Linked DNA regions of Arabidopsis thaliana. The main gene of each other region encodes a partner of the protein of the gene in region 2 in a complex. Each region holds a gene or a part of one and is shown on either strand. Other genes may lie near its edges.

Region 1 (7,771 bases), on a different chromosome or scaffold from region 2:
TCGTCATTACATCGCTTACATTTGAAACATCGAAGGGGAGAACGTCATTCTCTGGGTATAAGGGAGGTAAGAAGTTTAAGCTAGAGCAAAAGGGTCGTAGGCTTGTCGGGTTCCATGGAAAGGAAGGTTCAGCTATTGATGCCCTTGGAGCATATTTTGCACCTATTCCTACTCCGACTCCTATAATTCCAGCCAAGAAACTACCAGCAATAGGCGGCAGCGGAGGAGTTGCATGGGATGATGGTGTCTACGATGGTGTAAGGAAGATACTTGTAGGACAAGGTAACGATGGTGTAGCCTTTGTCAAGTTTGAATACAATAAAGGAAAAGATCTTGTATCTGGAGATGACCATGGGAAGATGACATTACTCGGAACTGAAGAGGTCAGTTCCATAAACAAGAGTTATGTTTTTTCTTTTTTCAGCTAATTTTATTTTAAATTATACACTTATCCTTGTTACTTTTGAGTCTTTGCAGTTTGTGCTTGAAGATGGTGAATATCTCACGGCCATAGATGGCTATTACGATAAGATTTTCGGAGTCGAGACACCAATGATTATCTGTCTTCAGTTTAAGACGAACAAAAGGGAGTCAACTCCATTCGGAATGGATTCGGGTGAGAAGTTCTCGCTTGGAGAGAAAGGCCACAAGATCGTCGGATTCCACGGACAAGCTAGTGATGTTGTTCACAGCATCGGAGTCACTGTCGTGCCCATTACCAACACCAAGTGAAAAACCTTTTATTATATAAGTAAAACCAGCCAGTGCCATGTCGACTAAATGAAAACATTCAATAAGGATTGGTGTGTTTACTCTACTACTTTTGATGTGTTTGTAACTTACTGTTTCTGTCAAATATGTCCAATAAGAATTGGTGTGCTCTCTTCAACTATTCAATAAATCTACCATGAGCCGTGTCAGAGTAGCTAACATTGAACACACAGCCCCACTGATGTAATGAAACTTTTTACCCACTATTTTAATTGCTCCTTGTAACATTTCAAAGACATAGACATTAGAAAAAGAAGCTTTCTCATTGTTGTCTTCCTCAAAGCCCAGATCTCTAAAGTGGTCTTACAAGATTTGATTATGCATATGTTGCCCAAATGACTAAAAGTAATCTTAACAAAAAATAATATTAAAAGTAATCGAAAATGAGTCGTCCTATATATTTAAGAAAATAAATATATATTTTTCCTACATATGAATCTAATCATGACTAAATATGTTTTTTTTCTCCGGATTTTCAGATTGGAGTTGCACAATTTCACCGAAATCAAGATGAAAAGTGATGGAAATTGCCATCTAATTAATATTTCTAATTCCTTTTACTCAATATATCAAATACTTGATGTCATTTTTTATCGTACTCATTTATTCGAAAATTTTCGGATCAAAGCAAATAATAAAATTAAGTATTCGATTAAAACGAATCGAATAACAAATATCCCCAATTTTCCGGATATTCGATTCGTGCCCAGGCCTACGTGGCACATATACAAGTGAAAATGAAATCATACGCAAATAAAACAATACCATCGGTATAAACATAAAGAAATGAACTATTTATTTTTCCTTAAGATAATTGTAAATTTCGTTTATTTTTTTAATTATGGAATTTTTTGCTTTTTCTTTTTCGTTCTTTTAGTATATTAAAGGATAGGATCATCATAATTCACAATTAACTGTTGGAGAAAGATTTTTTTTTTTGAGAAACGTTAAACCTAGCAGCCCTAATCTTTTCTAAGAGAGGAGATCGAGACTCTGTTCTGAATCAATAACCATCGATCAATCTCAACTCTAAAAGATGTCTAATACTCAGACCAAGTCGTTGTGTTTGGACGGTCTTAGTGATCGCGAAATACTTGAGTATAGGTATTGATCGATTCTTCTTGTAAACTTTGTTCCAATTATTTTTTTGCCTGATAATCTCTGACTATATATGTTATTTCTTATTCTTCCTGGATTTTCAGATTGGAATGGGAAAATTACACCGAAATCATGATGAAAAGTGATGGAAATTGCCAGGTAATTAATGTTTCTATATCAAACAATCAACTTGATATATATTTTTGATCGTATTATGAATAACCCTTTTTCATGTTTTTGTCAATAATTCTATTTCAGTTCCGTGCTTTGGCGGATCAACTTTATCAAAATTCGGATTGTCATGAACTTGTTAGACAAGAAATCGTAAAACAGGTAATATCAATCTTCAAACTTTTGATTGTTTTTTTCATACGTGTATTAATGTCATATGATGATTGATTGATTGATGACTCTCAGCTTAAAACTCATCCGAAGATTTACAAAGGGTTTGTTGATCATATGGACTTCTCCCATAAAGAACATGTCATTGTCCACTAATTCCCAATGGGGCGATGAAGTGACTTTGAGAGTGGCTGCTGATGTGTATCAAGTAAAAATAATACTCATTACATCAATCAAACTTATTCCATTTATGGAGTTTTTGCCCAAGTCTCAAAAGGAACCGGACAAAGTCATTCATATGAGCTATCTAGCTGGGATCCATTTCAACTCCATCTACAAAAAAAATAAAGAAAAAGGTTAACGTTCTCTTCCTTCTCCATTGTATATACATCTCATCTCCTTACTCTTGATTTGAGGCTTTGAGCAATATTGTATCATTCTTATTCTTCGTCTTGTTGGCTGCTTCAGGTTCACGTTCATCTTCATCATCGAGTTCTGCAGTCTGGATGAAGCTACAGAGGAAGAAGGAGAATGAGGCGAAGAAAAAGGAGGAGGAGGAGAAGGAAAGGAAGGACATGGAGAAGGAGGAGAAGAAAAAGGACAAGGAGGATAAGAAGAAGGATAAGGAGGATAAGAAGAAAGCCAAGGTGCAGAAAGAGAAGAAGGAGAAGAAGGAGAAGAAGAACAGAAATCACCACTTTCACTATTCTGAATGATTTGTTTTGATAAATTAAGTGTATCTGCATTTGACAAGTTGTATGTTATTATTGGGATCATTGTGGTTGTTTTGACTCTTTTATGTTCTTTTCGAGCTTATTCTAGTTTTGAGCCTTAGATACTGATAATCATAAAACACAACATGATAATGTGAAAGAGTCATCATGACATAACATCAGCGTCCCAAAATAACTTGACCATCGTCTCCATGGTATCCAACCGTCGATCCTCAACGACTCCAAAAAGCAAGGACATGAATATATGATGATGATAAGCCAAACTTTTGCATGAACACAGTTTATACAAAATTTAAATAACTGTTAAATTCATTTGAAACTTTAATGAATGATATTTCTGACAGTAACTTAGGAAATAAAGCTTATACACCGTTTTAGTTTGAAGATAATAATTCTAAATCTGTTTTCAAAATGTGCAGTCAAAAAGATTCTTAATACTAAATAGGAGATTTTGGTGGGAATCGCAACATTAACATCATCAAATTTGTTTTAGTTAACAATATATTGAATTTGGTTTATGCTGTTTTGATGAATTGTTTTGTTCATCTGTCGTACTTTAAAATATCTCTGCATCTAGAAAGTTGTATGCTATTATTATATATTGCACTCGTAATGGACTCTAATTATTTGTTGCATTTGTGAGGGAGTCTCTCGTGTCACACGAGTTGATTATTAAAATGATTAATTAAAGACAATCAAGAAGACCTTGTATGCCAAAGATTGTCAATAAATACACACAATTCAATACCCATAAGCTTCATCTCCTTCCATCATTCAGAGCTCAATAATTAACTGGTTATCTCTCTCCCTTCAATTTTTTTTTTTTTTTTTTTTTTTAAAGTAACTCCTAGTTTCCACTACTATGTATGTTGCTTCACAAAATGTTTTTAAAACAAGAAGTAGCTCTTTATATGTAGATATGTATTCTTGAATATATTAGATTTAACAAACACTTTTAAACCTAATTGATTGATTTATATTACACCACATCACCAATAATAGAGCTATCAACATCAAACAGTAAATATTTACCCATGATCAGTTGATTGTTCTATTTGTGTTTCTTGGATCATTTTGGTGTTTTTGCTATGTATTTGAATAGGCTATACAGTGTTATCATGGTATTTATGTATTACTAACCACAAACCAGCTTTAAAAACTATATATAAAGCTGTACATATATACTTTCGTTTTTGGATTATCTATATAAGAAGTAATTTTTGCATTTTACAATATTTTTTAGATTCGAAATGGCGAAGATGTACCGGAAGTTGGCACTCTGCGGTGGTGAGGGAGGACAAGAATGGGACGACGATGTATATGAGGGTGTAAGAAAAGTGTATGTAGGGCAAGATCTCAACCGTATCACTTACATCAAGTTTGAGTACGTGCAGGAAGACGGCGAAGTAGTAACAACTGAATATGGGACAACAAATCAGCACCCTAAAGAGGTTCTCATTGCATTTATTCTCACCCTTAATTTTTTGCGATACTAGTAAATTACTCTTGTGAATTCGGATTAACGTTGGATAAATCCTTTAAGACATAAACAAGAAGAAGCAAGTATTTCTGAGGCGGATACCCTTTAGTGACTCTCTAATTTTTTTGTATTACACTACTTGTGTAAATGAATAAGACACAAACACTAAGACAACGTTATAAAACCAAAACTCAGATACTGTATATTAGGACTAGGAAATCTTGAGAATTATCCTAAACCTATCAATATTAAATACTATAAATTTTATTGAATATATGTTACTATTACATACAGTTTGTAATTCAATACCCGGACGAACACATCATAGCAGTGGAGGGAAGTTACCACCAAGTGGCTCTCATTGCCACAGAGGTGATTACGTCCCTCGTCTTCAAGACCTCAAAGGGTAGAAAGTCTCCATTGTTTGGTCCAAACTTACTTGGAATTACGACCGGTACAAAGTTTGTTTTTGAGGATGAGGGAAAGAAGATCGTAGGGTTTCATGGACGGGCAGGTGATGCTGTCGACGCTCTTGGAGTTTACTTTGTATTGGATACCACGCCGTTCCCTCTTTACAAGCTTGATGCCCAAGGTGGTACAGACGGGCGTGTTTGGGATGATGGTTCTTACGATGGCATTAAAACGCTGCGTATTGATCAAGATAATTCTCGTATCACTTATTTAGAGGTTGAGTACGAGAAAGACGGGGAAGCAAAAACATGTAACCATGGGGGGAAAGGAGATACACCATCCGAGGTAACTTTACTAGTTCTTCTTATACACGACTAGTTCAATAATTTCTCAAAAATGTTATAAATTGTTAAACTCTATTTATATGTGATCATTAGTACAACGACATAAATTAGGTTCCAAATATCAATGATTAATTATTGTGTTTGTAGATTCTTTGCAGTAGTATGAAGTATAACTCTCACACACTCCGGTTCAAATTTTTGTAGATATAATTGACACATGTATTTAGATCTCTTAAGACAAAAAGTCTTCTTATTTTGTTGCTTCTTGTTGCAGTTTGTGCTTGGTTACCCAGATGAATACATCAAATCGGTGGAAGCAACCTATCAGAAGCCAAACATTTTTAGCAATACGGCAATTACGTCACTTAAGTTCTTAACATCAAAGGGGAGAACATCATTCTTTGGGTATAATGTGGGTAAGAAGTTTGTGTTGGAGCAAAAGGGTCATAGGCTTGTCGGGTTCCATGGAAAGGAAGATGCAGCTATTGATGCTCTTGGAGCATATTTTGGACCTGTTCCTACTCCTACTCCCTTGATTCCATCTAAGAAACTACCAGCGATAGGCGGCAACGAAGGAGTTACATGGGATGATGGTGTCTACGACGGTGTAAGGAAGATACTTGTAGGACAAGGTAACGATGGTGTATCCTTTGTCAAATTTGAGTACAGTAAGGGCAAAGACCTTGTACCCGGAGATGACCATGGGAAGAAGACATTACTCGGAGCTGAAGAGGTCATTTAAAAACAACAATTTTTTTTTTTTTTTTTCAATTCATTCTAGATTATTTACACTTATCCTTTGTTGGTTTTGAATCTTTGCAGTTTGTGCTTGAAGATGGTGAATATCTCATGAACATAGATGGCTACTACGATAAGATCTTCGGAGTTGAGGAACCAATAATTGTATGTCTTCAGTTTAAGACCAACAAAAGGGAGTCAATGCCGTTTGGAATGGATTCTGGTAAGAAGTTCTCGCTTGGAGAGGAAGGCCACAAGATCGTTGGATTCCATGGACAAGCTAGTGATGTTGTTCACAGCATCGGAGTCACTATCGTGCCCATCACCACCACCGAGTGAAAACCAGTTAGTCATATATACTACATGAAACTTCCAATAAGATTGGAGTGTGTGTGTGTGTGTGTTCTCTTTACTATGTTACTTTTAATACGTGGTTGTAAGTTCAAGTAACTTACTGTGTGCTAATAATTCCAATAAGATTGGCTTGTGATTTCTTGTTATTTACTGCCAAAAAATTAATCTGGTTCTAAAAATCTACATGCCTATTAATTTCAATAAATCCCCTAATCAATTCTAGTTATTTTATTAGTTAGCATAAATAGAAAAAAAATACCACATTATTATTACAAATCACTAAGATTTATTAGTCCACATTATATTTTACTGATAATTATCAAAGCATGGTACTATTTAAAACCTCAAACAAGTTAGCAATTAAAAATCTCACAGAGACTGATTATCTTATTTGTTTTAATTAAGAGAAAGGCAAAAACAAAATTGAGTAATGCTTGCTTACCAAAATATACAGCTAAAAAAGACAATTTTAGGCCCACAATAAAAAACAATCAAAAAGGCCCGCTCCTTCAAAAAGATTTAAAAAGTGAACGGACTCAATTTCCCATATTACCCTTCATTGCTACTCGAATTTACGGAGAAACCCTGTTTCTCTGTCCTTACGCCTTTCTCTCTCCGTTACACTGCCGCCGTAACGCTTTCTTCCTTCTTGTAAAAAAAGTCTCTCCGTTTAACTAAACGCCGTAAAAAAACTCAGCTTTGATAATATCGGTTTTGATTTTTGATTGAGTTTCCCTCCATATCTCCTCGATTTCCGATTTTGAGGAATCAATCTCTCTGTTTATACGGTAAACTTCATAACTCCATCGATTTTTTGGTTTCTCTATTTTGAATTTCAAACAAAAAAACTGTTACTGATCCATATTTGTATTTGATTGATCGTAAATCCTCTGAAAATTTTCTTCTTTGTTTTCTTCGCCACTGAGAGACTCAGGTTCGATGCTCTGCTTCGTTTTTTAAGGTTTTTTTAGTGGAAAGGTTTAAAGGGTAGTTATGTCTTTTTGACTTGTGTTACGACTCACTTCGATGTTTATGGATCTGTCAGAAAAGCTCTGACATTTTCTTCATTTTGATCGTAATTTGTGGCGATCTTGATCTTGTTTTCTATTTTTAAACCATTATATCTAAATCTTCAAAGCTAAAAATAAAGATGCTCTTGAATTATTCTCATCGAGCAAGTGTTTAAGTAAGACTTCACTTTAGAACACTCTCTGCTCTGTTAAACCTTTGTGTTTCATGATTACTGTCTCTAATCAATGTCCCTTTCTATGCGCTGTTTTGCCTTTTGTTTTTTGAACAAAGAAGAAACCTTTTTCTTATTTTGCTTCTTTATAATTTTGATTCCAGCTGCACAACTCTAGTGAACCTTTGTTACCAATGAAGAAGCTTTTCTTTTTCAAGTCATCATCTGGTAATGGAACTGATCATAATAAACAGCTTCACAAGCAAAAAGATGATCACTTTCAACGATATTTGAATAGTCCAAAGGGTCTTAACAA
Region 2 (8,300 bases):
TTTTTTGAAACAAAATAAAAATTCCACAAGAACACTAGTGGTTGTTATACAGAAGGACTATTATTAAATATTTTAAATTGGATGATTTCATTGCACGATATATAAACGTTGAGTTGTTTTTTATTTTTCTAAATCTTGAACGTATAATATTCATCATGCATAAACGTTGAGTTGTTTTTTTTATTGAACAGAAATAAAAATCCTCAAAATATAACTTAAAGCTCATCCCTCTTTATCGCGGATGGACTTAGGCCGTGTTCGTTTCATCAGTCAGATGGATCATCTAGATAGAGATGAGTTTTGATGTTCGTTTGGTGCCAAAAACGGTTCATTCAGATGATCTATCCAAATAAATCATCTGGATGACTTTGAAAATTTAAGCTAAATTTTGAAACTTATTTGGCTGAATTTAATTGGATCATTTGGATGGAGATGATCCAGTCAAAAATAACAAATAACAAAAATACCTTAATTATTTCAATTGATTATTTATATGTATTTTTTCGATAAAAAAACAAATAGACTTAAATCTTATTTTACAACTATTTTTAAAAAATAAAAAATTAAATTTTCCACTAAAACCGCAAAATTATTTTTTTTTCCGTTAAAACCGTAAAATTTTGTTTTTCCGCCAAAACCGTAAGATTCTGTTTTTCCGACAAAACCGCAAAATCACGTTTTCCCGCCAAAACCGCAAAATCACATTTTCCCGCCAAAACCGCAAAATCACGTTTTCCCGCCAAAACCGCAAAATCGTGTTTTCCCGCCAAAACCGTAAAATCACGTTTGTCCGTCAAAACCGTAAAATCGAGTTTTTCCCGCCATAACCGTAAAATCACGTTTTCTAGTCAAAAACGTAAAATCACGTTTTTCCGCCAAAACCGTAAAATTTTGTTTTTCGCCAAAACCGTAAAATCGAGTTTTCCCATCAAAACTGTAAAACCACGTTTTCCCGCCAAAACCGTAAAATAAATTTATAAATGTAAAAAACTATTATTTGAAATTTATTTACTTTTAAATATATTTTAGATTAAGAATTAAAATTAACATGTTTACAAGTAATAATAAAAAATATAATTAGATGAAAGCATGGGTAGTTTAGGTATTTGTATTATTACAAATCATTTGGATGGAGATAGAGATAAGCAAACGAACATCTCATTCGGATGGTCCAGTCAAATGAACCGACTAAAAATGAAACGAACAAGAGTTAAATAAATCATCCAAATAGACATGTTGAATGGATCAGTTGGATGGATCTATCAAATGTAGAAACGAACAGGGCCTTAAAACCTTGACCAAAGAAATCTTTGTAATACCTGGCTGATTGTTTCTCATAACATTGAGATTATTTTTAAAATTGACGTAGTAGAATCCCAATCTGTTATATTAGAACCATCTTGCTGATATTATGTTGTGTTCATTTTTATGTACATTGTCTTATCTTATCCGATATCAAATTATGTAACTTGATTTTATCTAAATTGTTTGGAAAGATTAATCTCAAACTTGTAGCTACGGTGTGACATCTTATCCGATCTCAAATCATGGTGATTTTCTAAAAATGTTAAACTATTTCCATTGTTTTATTTCATCGCCAAGCGGTTTAAGTTGTTGAAGTTATTAGTCATTAAAATATTTGCACGATTTAGTTGTTAAGACGACGTCTAGTTATTGCATAATCTATTTCTTTAAATAGAGGTAAATTCGTATTTTCAATATTTTAAAAACTATGATATTTTTACTTCATATTTAAAAACATCAGTCCTTTTGTAAATTTAAGACTTTTTTTAATATATATAATACAATATTTCTTCATGTTTTGAAGGTAAAGATACCTTCATATAAGGATAATATATTTATACTAAAGCATTCTTGATCATGTCAAATAAGCTAGAAACTGAAGGAATACAAAACACTTTTATTATTATTAACCAAGACTTCATGAATCATGATCAATCACAAACTAAAACATAGGAAAGAAGCATTGAACAGAAAACCAAATCCTCAAAATATAACTTAAAGCTCATCCTTCTTGAGCGCGGATGGACGAACACCTTGACCGAGGAAATCTTTGTAGTACTTGGCTGATTCTTTCTCATAACGTGTGAGGTTATTTTTGAAATCGACGTAATAGAGTCCGAATCTGTTATTATAACCATCTTGCCATTCAAAGTTATCTAATAATGACCATACAAAGTATCCCGTAACTCTCACTTTGTCAATGCTGCACATACACAAATTTTCTTGATTAGATCATTCCATAGAATTGTTCTCTAAATAAATAAATAGTAAACGGTTACCAAATAGCTTCGTTCATAGCTAGAAGATGCCTCTGAAGATAGTATTTCCTGTTATAATCAGCAGTACCAACCTCAACCGAATCTTTGTCCTTAAGTTTATCTCCATATCCTAGAAAAACAACAACATTAAGATGAATATATATTTTAACTCCAAACTAAATCAACACACAGTAACCATAAATCTCGAGTTACCATTTTCCATGATCATAATTTCCGGGTTTGCGTATTTATCTTTGATGTACTTTAAAAGACTTCTAAAACCTTTAGCGTAGACGGGCAATGCAGCGGTAAGAGGCTGAAAATAAAACAATGGTGATAGATGTTATGTCGTTGAGAGAAATATTTTAATTGTTTAGTTGTTAAAACAATCTCAAACTAGGACTAGTTTAGTTTAACGCATACCTGGCTACCAATGGCGCTGTGATCTACATTCTTAGCTGAAATTTAAAAGTGAAAATGTATACATATCAATTAGTATTATAAAGAAAACATTTTCTCTTAGTTTCTTGGTTTGGTTTCATGTAAGGAAAAAAAAACTTACGTTCCCAAGCAACAAGAGAATCTTGCTTCCAACTTGGTGTAGACGGATCTGGCTTTTCATTATGGTTTGAAAATGTTGAAGTATAGTAGTTAAGCCCTACGAAATCGGTCGAATCTTTCAATTTTGCTTTTTGTGAAGAAGTGAATTTGGGCAATCTGTGACCAAGAAGGTCTTTCATGATTTGTGGATAATCTCCAAAAGTAGTTGGGTCTAGATGCCTACAAATAATAATCAAAACTCCATCAATTATATGAAATTGTATACAAGACCCCATTTTATCAAAGTATATACCTACCATCCCAACATAAAGTCAAGTACACGGCTAACAGTTGGAACGTCATTTGAATCTTTAAGATCATGTGGTTCGAACCAAGCCGGACTATGTGCGATTCCAATTTTCCCACCTTTAACCTACAAAATGTCCATTAACACAACACAAAACAAATTATATTCATATCCAAAACCTGATAGTTAATTTTGATATATATATCTAATGTAAATTACCTTTTGGCGGAAAACTTCAACAGCTTCTGCATGAGCGTTGAGGAGGTTGTGACTAACTAGATAAGCCTCATAACCTGATCGTCCATCTCGGTCTTCACAACCTTTAAGGTAGCGAGAACAACGTCCTGGCGCCTTCTTGCCTACGTCGTAACCTGCATGAGCGAAGACCCATGGCTCGTTGAAAGTGATCCAGTTTTTCACTTTTCCACCGTATTCAGTGAAAACATAATCTGCATATTCTCGGAAATCTTTCCTGTATTTTTGCAAAAAATGATATTAAACTAATAATTTCCATATAAAATTTAATTAGATGTATTTTGTTTCAATTTACAAAAACATACACAATGTTCTCGCTTAAGAAACCGCCATATTCGTCTTCTAAATCTTGTGGAGTGTCCCAATGGAAAACAGTCACAAACGGAATTATACCTAGTTACAATGTAAAAATAGATAGAAATGTTAAATAATGATACTATATTTCTTGTCTTTTTTAATTAATTAGTTTATATGTATATAACCATTTTTAAGGAGCTCATCGATCAGGTCGTGGTAGAATTTCACACCAGCTTGACTCACTCCCTTCTCCTTTCTCCCATCTAAAAACCCGTTAGTTTGTTTGATTAGTCAATAAATGTAAAATTCATTAGTTATTGATTTATATATCAATTCACCAAATTCGATTACTAAATCAAACTAGAGATCTGCAGACATATACTCACGAGGAAATATTCTTGACCATGCGATTGAGAGTCTGAATGCGTCTGTGTTTAGATTCTTCATTAGTTGAATATCTTCCTACAAACATTTTTAAGACGAGACAAATTTTCAATAATATCTCGTATAATATCAGCAAACTAAAAGTATAAAATATAAGTTATATTTGTCTTAAAATTATATTAATATATACCTTAAATTTATATTAATATATACCTCAACTTTATATTAATATATTATATATACAGTGTGGCTCCTCTCAAGGGTCTAACCATTTCAAAGTTTTGTAAGCATCCTCTGAGTTAATTTTCTCAAAATTCTTTTCAAACAAGAGGCACTTTATTGTAAAGATGTTTTTTTTCTTTTGAATATACTTTAAATTTAGATTCAAAATACATATATATATTTACCTTATAACGATGGAAGAAATCAACGGCCACATCGGCGTTGTGGCCACTACATCTCTCTGTAATTTAAAAATAAAAAGTGAATGAATTTAGATATCTAAAGATATTGTATAGAAAATATAGATTATACACTCACCTGGATTTCTCTTACAGAAGATATCCCATAGAGCAGGTCCACGACAAGTTTCATTAATTGCACCTTCAACCTAATGACATAACGAAAATAGCTGATGAGTTGAGGTAATAACATATGTTTGAATTCAGCATTTGGACTTAGGCTTGAATTTTGATGGAGACACAACACTAATACATATTTTTGAAGTATAGTGTAGTAAATAATTCATTTTGATGTCTCACAGTTTACCTGAAACGCAGCAGTAGCTGTGCCAAACACAAACCCATTAGGGAAACTTGCTCGGCTTAGTTTGGACGTCGTTGGGCACACAGGATCATCGACGGCTATTGTCGAAGAGACGACAATGGTTATGAGAAAAAGAAGCCCCAGGAGAGGGAACTTTTGCAATGCCATGGTTTCTAATTTTTGGTCTTTTGGAAGAGAACAAGTTTGTGATGATTTGTTTACATCTAAACAGAGTTCTTAATTATATAGTGATTTTGATTGTTTGGTAATGACAAATAAGTCACTAAACTATATTTGTTTAATAAATTTATTTTATATATAGGTGTGTTCTTACTTATTTTTCAAAGTTTGGAACATATTATATTACGCGTGGAACATATAATAAAAACGTGCCTTTAAATAAATAGTGTATCCTATCAAAAAAAAAAAAAAATCGTGTATGTCCTATAACTGAAGTCTTCATCTATTGTTGCACCTTCGTCTTAATAATATTTCTCGTGTTTAACGAGCAACAATATTAACATTTAATCTTCCATAATCAACGGATCTCTCATTTAATGTCTACTTTCAAATATGCAACCAGATCTGTTTTACAAGAAAAGAAAAAGATATGCCAACAAGGCCTCGTTAATCATTTTCTTTAATTTTCTATAGTAATGATCCAGATCGAGTTTTTGGATCTTACTTTAGGTATTATTGACGTTTAAGATATTAATATTTATTGAATAAACTTTCATTTACTTATCCCACTAAGATAGTATACAATTATTTAACTATTGTATACGATGGTGGTTAGGAGCAACGTGTCCCCATGAGAAACTTTTGCAATGACATTTTGGTTTTTAGTTTTCTTTTTTTTCTTTTGTCTTGATTAAGAAAACAATTTTAGGATGGTTCATTTATATGTTAGTGTCGTTTTTTATAGCGATACTGATCTCTCATTAATGTCTTGTTTTTAATATGCCACAACCAGGCCTCGTTGATAATGTTTATTTTATTTTACTATATAGATAGATCTAATCATCCAAATGGTGTTTTCGATCTTATCTTAATCATGATTATTATTGACGTTTTCATAACTTAATATAATCTTTCATTATTGGTTTCCGCTTGACTATTATTTAAATAGGATGATTCATTCGATGAGAGATCCCGGGTGACTAAGCTAAACTATACAATTATAAATAAGAAAATCTAGTGTATGACCTATATCTTCAAAATCTTGAACCTGTAGTAGTCGTCCTGATCATAGGATACATTGGTAACTTATGGACCGTAAAACCTAAGCAAAAGACCTTATAATGGTTATCAAACAAGTTATTAGATATCAAGACACAACCTCCAATTAGACTGGGAGTTTGGAATGAGTAATCTTCGGTTTCGGACAAACAATTGGTCACATTCTAGTCGCATGCTGACTGCTGTCAGGACAGTGCGGTAAAGCCTAATTAAGATCAACGAAATTTAGGCATCAAAATTAAAATATAAATGTGGGGCAACTTTTTTGCCCAAAAAAACACAAATTGGGGTAACTATTATTCACCAAACATTTTTCTTGGTCGATCAATTGGTGGTGTAATTGATTATTTTTCTTTCAAACAACTCAATGAGAAAGTCCATTTAGATTTGGAATGACCATTTCTCAAAATGCTACACTTCATGGCCTTTGTGATCGAGGACATTGAAAGCTACTATTTACATGATCAGAAAATCTGGTAAGTTTACAAGTCCATATATATGTCAAATATTGTACCTTGGAAGAAAGCAACTTAAAAATATGTGTATTCCTCTTAGCTGATGCCCTACCAAAGCACATTGCGACTCACTACTCTCGTCTAGTCGTCATAGAAGAAGAATACACTGCGACTAGTTTTTTTTGCTCTCCTAAGAATGAAGAAACGGTTGGTACAATCTTTTACTAACTATGGCCAGTTCAATTACTTACCCTTGGTTACTTCAATGATCTGGATCAGTTAAGAGTCTTTGTGTATCTTTATGGCGTAGTCAAGGAAATGGAAACTTCCAATTAAATATAAAACTATTAAATACTAAAAAATAAAATAAATTCGACATGTGTCACGATTAAGCAACAAATATATATTAAATGTGACTGAATGAAAGTCGTTGTATAACTCCAAAATAATGAAGCTTCCTTATATATCATTAAAAACACATGTAACGACAATCTCTCTTGGTGTTTGACTTTGAAGGTGTTCTTGTTTTACGTCACGATGCATCAGCAATCACATTATTGTACTTTGATAATATTGTTAAGTATTAACAATATAATAGGTTCCACCTTCCACGCATTATGATCAGTAAATCACATTGTAGATTATTATTACTTTGATAAATATTTAAATCGAATATGTAGTAGCTAGAAACCTTTTTTTAACATACCATCTTTTTTCGTTGATAGTATTGCGCTGACGCTTATTTTGCTACTTGATGGCGATGCACCATCTATCTGTAAATAGATTTTTAGCATATTTAAAATACTAAGGTTTAGCCCGGGCTACGTTTGGTACTTATTTGGCGATAATTAATTTTAAGCTAGTTGAATTAGTTTTATTTTTAAAATTCATCAAACCTAACTCCACTACGGTGATACATGACTTCATTTTTGTTACATTATGAAGTTGATCAGGGTATCTTTATCGAACACTGTAGACATTAAAACAAGTATAAAAACAGATACATGTATATTTTCTTGGTACATACAATTTCGGCATTTCCTCCAACTGTAAAATAAGCAAAGATAAGTGACACATGTTTACACTTTACATAGTCCTCACCACAGCCATCATCTAACTCTCTTTGCTTCCACCACCACCTCCGCTTCTCCCTCTGAACGTCGGTTGCGAGTTGCGACCACCTCAGGTCCGTCTCTCACCCATGGAAACATGGGCATCTGCTACGGTCCACAAATTAAAAGGTCCAAAATTTGTTTGTATTTTAGTTGTTGGAGTTGGAAAAAAACAATAGAAGAGCCCTTTATATGTTGAAGATAAAAGGCCCCAAAAATTATTAACTTAACATAACAGGCCCATAAAACAATTAACCTAGTTAACTAGTTTAAAGAATTCAATCCGAATCTTCCTTATTGTCCTCCTTTTAGTTTTTGAGACTCACTCAGATCATGATCAAAATCACAAGCTCTCTAATTTTCTTCGGTCGTAAAGCTCATTAAAGCCTAGACATGTATATCTTAAAAGCTCCTAAACAAATAGATCTTAATTTTCCAAGAGTTTAATTATAATTTAGTTCCTAGAATGTTTAATCCTTGGGTCTTAGTGTCTTACAAAGATCTAATACTATTTTAGGTTAAATTTGAAGCATCTTTATTTTATTTTTCGTTTTTGTAATCCATTATCTATTTTTCTACTCGAAGTCTGAATTACTAATGAGCAAAAACATGTCTTTGAGTCAAAAGAAGTAACAGCATTACACATTTAGGCCAAACATAAGAT
Region 3 (7,155 bases), 4.6 Mb from region 2:
TGTGTGGAAAGGAGAACAATTCTATGGTGAAAGTAAATAAACTTGATGAAATACTAAGGTACAAAGACAATTAGATAGACACAAGAAACAAGCATGTCGTAGCAGAAACCTTATTATTAGGGCTTATTTGCGTTGACCTTTCTTGCACGGGAAGATTAGCCGCCAGCGCGAGAAAAACCATTAATAACCCTACGACGATTGTTAATTTTTTTGTACGAATGTAAATTTGATTCACCAAAAACAACTTTGTTTACATTATGCAATAATTTGTTTAAATTTAAATGTTGAGCTTAAATTTTAATTAGGAAAACAGTTTGTATTTTGAAATATTAGAGACGTCTTGTGGCAAACCAGTTACACAAAGCATCATCAAACTTGCCTTTACCGTGAGTCTTTAGATCGGACTGTTCGATCGATATCCTTGATGAGGTTAGTCGCTGTTGAAAGTTGTTCCTCATGTCTTCTCATATTTTTTTCTCTACATATTGTATAAACTGCAATTTGGAAAGTACATGACCTCATATGTGTTGATGTGTGAGACTGTAGTGTGAACCAGAAACTTCGGCAGTCACCAACGTGTTGAATAGTAATATAAACAGTTGAGTTTTTCAATTATATACGACAAATAAAATGTTACCATATTAGACGGATCTACTATATTTATCATGTGATGGATCCAAATCGTTTTACTACTATTTTATGGAATTAATTATCAACATTGAACGTAGATAAAGGAGAGATAAAGTCAAGATCGGTGTGTTGCTTCAATTATTGAGATTTTTAAATTATACTATTTCAATTTGTATGTTTTAACTTATGTCCAGATTTAGCGTCATTTTTTTCTTATTTAAATAGAAAAAAAATACTTAAACTTATGACCAGATTTAGCGGATGAGATTTGTTTGGTCTTATTATATTTTTATTTTCCTGTCGCTTATGATCCACAAAATCAGATCACTAATGCCCACTATATGTATTTACTGTAATAAAATAATCCCAACTGGTAATGATATTTATTTTCAGTTTGGGAGTATTATATTTTCCCAGCTGGTAAAAGATACTTTATCATATTCGTTTTATAATTATAATTAGCTTATTGTTGGGTCAAAAGAAACCAAAAGGAATTAGCTTATTATTTTAATTCGGTGTCATAAAACGAATCAGTCATATATTTTTACATAATTTATACTTACTCTGTTTCTTTTTGTTTAATTGTTTAGAAAAAAAATTATTTCAAAAATATTGATTTTTTAGATTTTTAATACAATAGTTATTAGTTATAATTGATAAATTGTAAACTTCAATACAAATTAGTAAATATCATTGGTTTAGAGTTATTGAAAATTGTAAATCACAAAAAACAATACATTTAAAAGCAACATTTAATATATTTTCTTAATATTTATGTTTTTTCTAAAAAATCAAACAAAAATGAACAGAAGGAATATAAGATATCGAATAGATTAGAGTAAATCGATAGACTAATGAACTCTCGATAAATTCCAGGACGTGGAAAGAGTTGATAAGATCAATCTTTTATTATAGAGAAAAACTCACTAGAGAAACAGGAAAACATTGCAAATCAAAAACATCAAGATTCCGATTTTGATTCGGTTATAAATTAACTCATGACCATTGTAGAAAACCTGATTGACCCTAAAGATTGAGTTTTAAAAAGACTCAGTAATACTCGTAACCGCGGCTAGTGGACGAGCTAGAGTCGCTGGCGTGGACAGTAGCTGGCGTTGGAGGCACCCAAAATTCACGCATGGGTTCATCGACTGGGTAAACAGTAAGCTCACGGACGTTCATCGGTTGGACAACATTTGTATCGGCTCCAAAAAGAAGATGGGCAAACATTTCTTGCGCCTTCTCGGAGTTGTGACGTCCGTCGAAGAATAGGAAAGACCGTTGGTACTCACATAGCTTCGAATGCACGTTAGGTAAACCGCAACCATAAGCATCGTGAGATCCAACTCCGCAGCACGATGCGTTCGTGACGAAAAACCCTAAGAATGACAAATATTAATGACTTGGTATTAGAAGTTATAAAACTAAAACAAATGAAATTAAACCATGATAATTAACCAACTCACGGAAGTTTTGGTTCCTCTGCGTCCTAGTAAGAACGGCATTGTAGAAATCAAAGACGGTGAATTGGAAAGGAGCTGATGCAGGAGAGTTTCTAGCCATTTCGTTCAACATCGGTCCAATTTTTTCGTTGTGTTGTTTAGCCAAATCGTTGAGTTTCTCATAGCATTGATCCATCCCGGTGTTGTATTCTTGTCTGACGATGGGTAAGCAACCCAATGGAGCTAAGGTTTGGATCACGAATTTACTCGCTCCTGATGAATACAACGCGCTAATATCGTTCTTTAACTTGTTGGTCACGGAAGTAACAAAAGCTTGTTGAGCAGATGCATCAGCGGTAGGGTTGTTCTTGGTGAAATTTAAGTAATCGTTTGCACCAATGTATATCATAAATACTGACTTTGCCACGAAATCATCGTTCCAATTTGCTGCTTTCATTTGATTGAATTTTTTCACTTGTTGATTCAGAGTCATCTAAAGAACCAAAAAAGAGAAAAAGACAAAAATTAAACCAATATTATAAGTGCAATTAAAGTAAAGCTTATTGATATTAAGTCACATGCTTTTCTGTGAAGTAAAACAAAAAGAATCCCGCTTAGTATGACCGGGTCAATAATAGACAGATATAATTGATTTTCTTTGAATTAGGTGTTGACTATAGATATATACATGACTCTTATATAATAAGAAATTAAGTTTACTTACAGATTCCACCGGAGCTCCGAGTAGAGTAGCACCTTCGACGGCGAAACTAGCTCCACGTGAGACATTGACGTTCGGTTGAAGCGCCGGCGCGATCGCGAGCGGAATCTTCATGAATTTAGCTGCATTTTGTATTTTAAAAATATTTTAGTTTTTCATATAATATCAAATCATTCCTTGTACTACATCTCCGAATCTGTTGACGAAAATAATAAATAAAATTTCATAGAATGTGTCCCGAAAAGTGAATAGCCGCTGAACCAATGCATTTATAATCTTTTTTTTAATCATACTATTTACTATTTTTTAAGTAATTCACTAGTAGCATACTTAAAATGCATTTATAAATACTACTGTTTATGATTATTTTTACGTAATCATACTATTTTTAACATACTTAATGTTTTAAAGATTAGAGTAGGATTCGATTAGAAAAGAAGTCGTACCGAGGAAGTCCGGAGTGATGAGGCCGTCGGAGAATTTGCCGTTGGGATCATCTCGAGATTTTCCGTACGGCCAGAAACCTTGAGCGACTAAGGTTTTGGTGAGAGTCTGTTTGTTTCCGGCGTCGAAGTTGGAGTCACCAAAGGTGAACAAGGCGACCACCGGACTATTCTGTCCGGCGACAGTGATGGGGTTGTGAAAGAGGGTCAATACCAAAATTACACATAGAACACTGACTAAATTACAGTTGTTTGCCATCATTTAGAGAGAGGGAGAAACAGAACTGTGAAAAGAGAAGAAGATTGCTTTTGTGCCTTAGCTCGTAGACCGATTCGTTATATTTATATTGCAAGTACTACAATTTGGCAATGAAAATAATAGTTCATTTTACTATACAAATAATAACGTGTAGCGCGAGGTTCATTTTACTATACACCTATTTAACGCACTAGCAAACGATTATCGATCAATTATATTATATAGTTCGCTTAATCACGTCTGACGCATTACTGGTTTCTCTTCTACTTTATTTTTAATTCTCAACAAAATATCTATTGTTACTACGAGTACCAAGAAAGATCGTGCTTTTTTTTTTTTGGTTCAACAACAACTTACAATTACACAAGAGTCTGAATACACATAAGCTTTAACCCAATCCGGCAATATAGAATACAATTTGGGATCATAATTCAGAAAAGAAAGAGATTCCCTAGCAATTCTATCTGCCACACAATTCCCTTCTCATCGGGTAAAAGTCACTTTAACCTCTTCGAAGTGCTGAAAAGATCGTGCATTTAGAGGCAAGAAGTAGAATTAAACATACAAATTTCACGGAAATATAGGGTGTAAATGGTAACACTAAACCAGATTCAGTAATTTCTGCAGTAACCATTTGCATAAAACTAAATTTTGCTGACTAGCCAAATTCAACAAAAAAATTTCAACACCAACATATACGTAGATATGTTTATTTCTGCTAAAACTTTTGGATAATTTACGAGTACACAACTCGAATTAAAATATTTTTAATATCAAAATACATATCAAATAGATATTTTTAAATAAGTCAGATTATACTGATACGATATATGAATAATATAGATACATAAAATATCACTACCAGAATAGACAAGAGACGAATATGTTCGGATAATTATAGATAATTTGGATAATAATTTTAATAACGTTTAGATAACTTAAATCAATTATTAAAATTTTGCAAAAACAACTCATACCTATGCTAAGATATTCTTTAAAAGATAAATTATAGTAATTTCCTTAATCATCCTCATCATATTATTGATTAAATTACTTGAAAACAATTAAAAAAAACAATTAACAATCTATATTTTATCATCATGTTAATTTTTGAAATTATTTTCTTAATAGTGTTTTGACAAAGATTTTCGTTAATTATTTACATATTTTTAATAGTTCAAATTTAAATAAGAAAGAATAACTCAATTTTGCGTTGACACAATCTTAATAGTATAGGTAATAGCTTAGTTATGTATATATAAATTATAAAAACTTGTGGAGAGTTGTTCCTTAAGATTTACAGTGAAGATTAGAGAAGATTAAGTTTTGAGAGAGTGTCTATATCAAATACAGAAGAGTTGGTCCTTATTCGTTTGTAAGTTCTAGTAATTATCAATTTGATTGGAATCATTAGAACGACAGAAAGGTGAACAATTTTGTTTCTAAAAGAGTGCAGAAACTAGATAAAAATAAAACACATTTGCTTACGTGAAGATGAAGTTTTATATGAAGAACGCCTCATTTGTTTGGTTCATCTATTATCTATATATATGATTTTTGGTTTTATTTCATATGAAAATTAACTGTAAATATAGCCGGCCCCAAAGCCAGATGTATAAACTTATCTTTTCTGGAACTTTATAATTTCTACTTTTTATTTTCTTTGTTGCCAATCATTTCGAATATTACCTTGCAAGAATAATTGCAAACAAAAAAAGAGGGTAAAAAAGGTCTCAAATTGAATCCACTACCTTCTTAAATTGATTCCACCAAAATTTATCATTTTGTTCTAATGGAGTGCATGTGGCCCGAAACTTGTCTAATCTGAGCACAAAGCAGGTCATTGGACACGCTTTGGTTCATATTGTCAGGTTTATCACGTTACTCATTGAGATTTTTCTTATGGAAAAAACAGAGTTGAGGTTACATTATTATTTTAAATCTCAACAAATTAATAACAGCGCATTTCAAATTCCAAGAGCTCGTTCATGGTATAGAGATGGAAAATAGTGAGCTCAAGAACTAAACGAGTTAGATAGATTCACTAGCATCGACGTCGACGTCATGGACTAACGATGATATTCTCATCCATTGGATCCTCCCAAAACTCACGCATAGGCTCATTAACAGGATACACAATGAGCTCACGAACATTCATAGGTTGGATAACATTTGGGTCCGCTCCAAAAGATAAGATGATGAGAAAACGCTTCTTGTGCCTTCTTTTTTTAATTATGGAATTACCTTTTAATATGTGGTTGACAAAAAAAAGAAATAAATTTATGTAAAAGTTTTGTTTCTTTTAAATAAAAGATTTGCAAGGGGTAAGAGTTGCAGAGATCAATCTTTTATTATGGAGGAAAACTCACTAGAGAAACATGAAAACATTGGAAATTAAAACTACTCAAGATTCCGATATTGATCCAGTTATAATTTGACTCATAACCCTTATAGAAACCCCGATCGATCCCTAAATATTGATTTTAGAGACTCAGTAATACTCGTAACCGCGGCTCTCCCTGAGTTGAACGGTGGCTGACGTTGGGGGCACCCAAGACTCACGCATAGGTTCATCGGCAGGGTAAACGACAAGCTCACGGATGTTCATCGGTTGGATAACATTTGTATCGGCTCCAAAAAGAAGATGACCAAACATCTCTTGCGCCTTCTCAGTGTTGTGACGTCCGTCGAAGAATAGGTAAGACCGTTGGTACTCGCATAGCCTCGAATGTACGTTAGGAAAACCGCAACCATAAGCATCATGTGTCCCAACTCCGCAGCACGATGCGTTCGTAACGAAAAATCCTAAGAATGGCAAATATTAAACACATGGTATTAGAAGTTATAAAAAAATTTAAAAATGAAATTAAACCATGATAATTAACCAACTCACGGAAGTTTTGGTTCCTCTGCGTCCTAGTAAGAATCGCGTTGTAGAAATCAAAGACGGTGAATTGGAAAGGAGCTGATGCAGGAGCTGTTCTAGCCAATTCGTTCAACATCGGTCCAATTTTTTCGTTGTGTTGTTTAGCCAAATCGTTGAGTTTCTCATAGCATTGATCCATCCCGGTGTTGAACTCTTGTCTGACGATGGGTAAGCAACCCAATGGAGCTAGGGTTTGGATCACAAATTTACTCGCTCCTGATGAATACAACAAGCTGATATCGTTCTTTAACTTGTTGGTCACGGAAGTGACAAAAGCTTGTTGAGTAGATGCATCGGCGTTAGGGTTGTTCTTGGTGAAATTCAAGTAATCGTTTGCACCAATGTATATCATAAACACTGACTTCTTCACGAAATCATCATTCCAATTTGCTGCTTTCATTTGATTGAACTTTCTCACTTGTTGATTCAGAGTCAACTAAAAAAACAAAAAAAGACAAAAAGACAAAATTATAATTGCAGTTAAAGTCAGATGTCTTTAATAAAACAAAAATATGCCGTTTAGTATGATCCAGGCTAGTCCATAAGACAGGTCAAGCACATGCTTTAGACCAGAAGATATATACTAAATCATTCGCCAAAAAAAATAAAAACAGTAATTTGGTAAAACCTTTAATATATTTTATATCATTAAGAAGGCCATCTTCCAATTGTGCTAAGGCCACCTGAAGGTAAATTAAGGACCGGCTATGTATGACCGGGTCAATAAAAGACAG

Evidence for each region. Proteins that work in one complex are often made in the same cells at the same time.
Region 1: BGLU22 (region 2) and JAL22 share a complex: the UniProt entries of both Arabidopsis thaliana proteins name them as parts of the PYK10 complex.
Region 3: BGLU22 (region 2) and GLL22 share a complex: the UniProt entries of both Arabidopsis thaliana proteins name them as parts of the PYK10 complex.

What each region holds. Positions count from the first base shown.
Region 1 is NC_003071.7:16,412,748-16,420,518, reverse strand, and holds JAL22 (jacalin-related lectin 22), read left to right. Parts: upstream 1-3,673; 5' UTR 3,674-3,740; intron 3,741-3,781; exon of another isoform or gene 3,782-4,188; 5' UTR 4,189-4,195; coding exon 4,196-4,396; intron 4,397-4,719; coding exon 4,720-5,181; intron 5,182-5,454; coding exon 5,455-5,913; intron 5,914-6,002; coding exon 6,003-6,257; 3' UTR 6,258-6,485; downstream 6,486-7,771. Other genes in the region: JAL23 (jacalin-related lectin 23), read left to right, coding at 1-383, 478-732; AT2G39320 (Cysteine proteinases superfamily protein), read left to right, coding at 2,002-2,028, 2,128-2,202, 2,348-2,567, 2,680-2,927; AT2G39300 (CAP-gly domain linker), read left to right, coding at 7,650-7,771. UniProt on the Arabidopsis thaliana protein: Inhibitor-type lectin that may regulate the correct polymerization and activation of BGLU23/PYK10 upon tissue damage.
Region 2 is NC_003070.9:24,704,740-24,713,039, forward strand, and holds BGLU22 (Glycosyl hydrolase superfamily protein), read right to left. Parts: upstream 5,258-8,300; 5' UTR 4,999-5,257; coding exon 4,834-4,998; intron 4,676-4,833; coding exon 4,606-4,675; intron 4,529-4,605; coding exon 4,473-4,528; intron 4,144-4,472; coding exon 4,068-4,143; intron 3,945-4,067; coding exon 3,867-3,944; intron 3,778-3,866; coding exon 3,690-3,777; intron 3,602-3,689; coding exon 3,349-3,601; intron 3,256-3,348; coding exon 3,140-3,255; intron 3,063-3,139; coding exon 2,845-3,062; intron 2,741-2,844; coding exon 2,706-2,740; intron 2,599-2,705; coding exon 2,496-2,598; intron 2,413-2,495; coding exon 2,304-2,412; intron 2,228-2,303; coding exon 2,020-2,227; 3' UTR 1,773-2,019; downstream 1-1,772. UniProt on the Arabidopsis thaliana protein: Beta-D-glucosidase active on scopolin >> esculin >> 4-MU-glucoside. No activity with DIMBOA-glucoside, pNP-glucoside, oNP-glucoside and sinigrin as substrates.
Region 3 is NC_003070.9:20,152,868-20,160,022, forward strand, and holds GLL22 (GDSL-like Lipase/Acylhydrolase superfamily protein), read right to left. Parts: upstream 3,654-7,155; 5' UTR 3,499-3,653; coding exon 3,240-3,498; intron 2,916-3,239; coding exon 2,797-2,915; intron 2,566-2,796; coding exon 2,097-2,565; intron 2,010-2,096; coding exon 1,681-2,009; 3' UTR 1,287-1,680; downstream 1-1,286. Other genes in the region: AT1G54010 (GDSL-like Lipase/Acylhydrolase superfamily protein), read right to left, coding at 5,987-6,300, 6,389-6,857.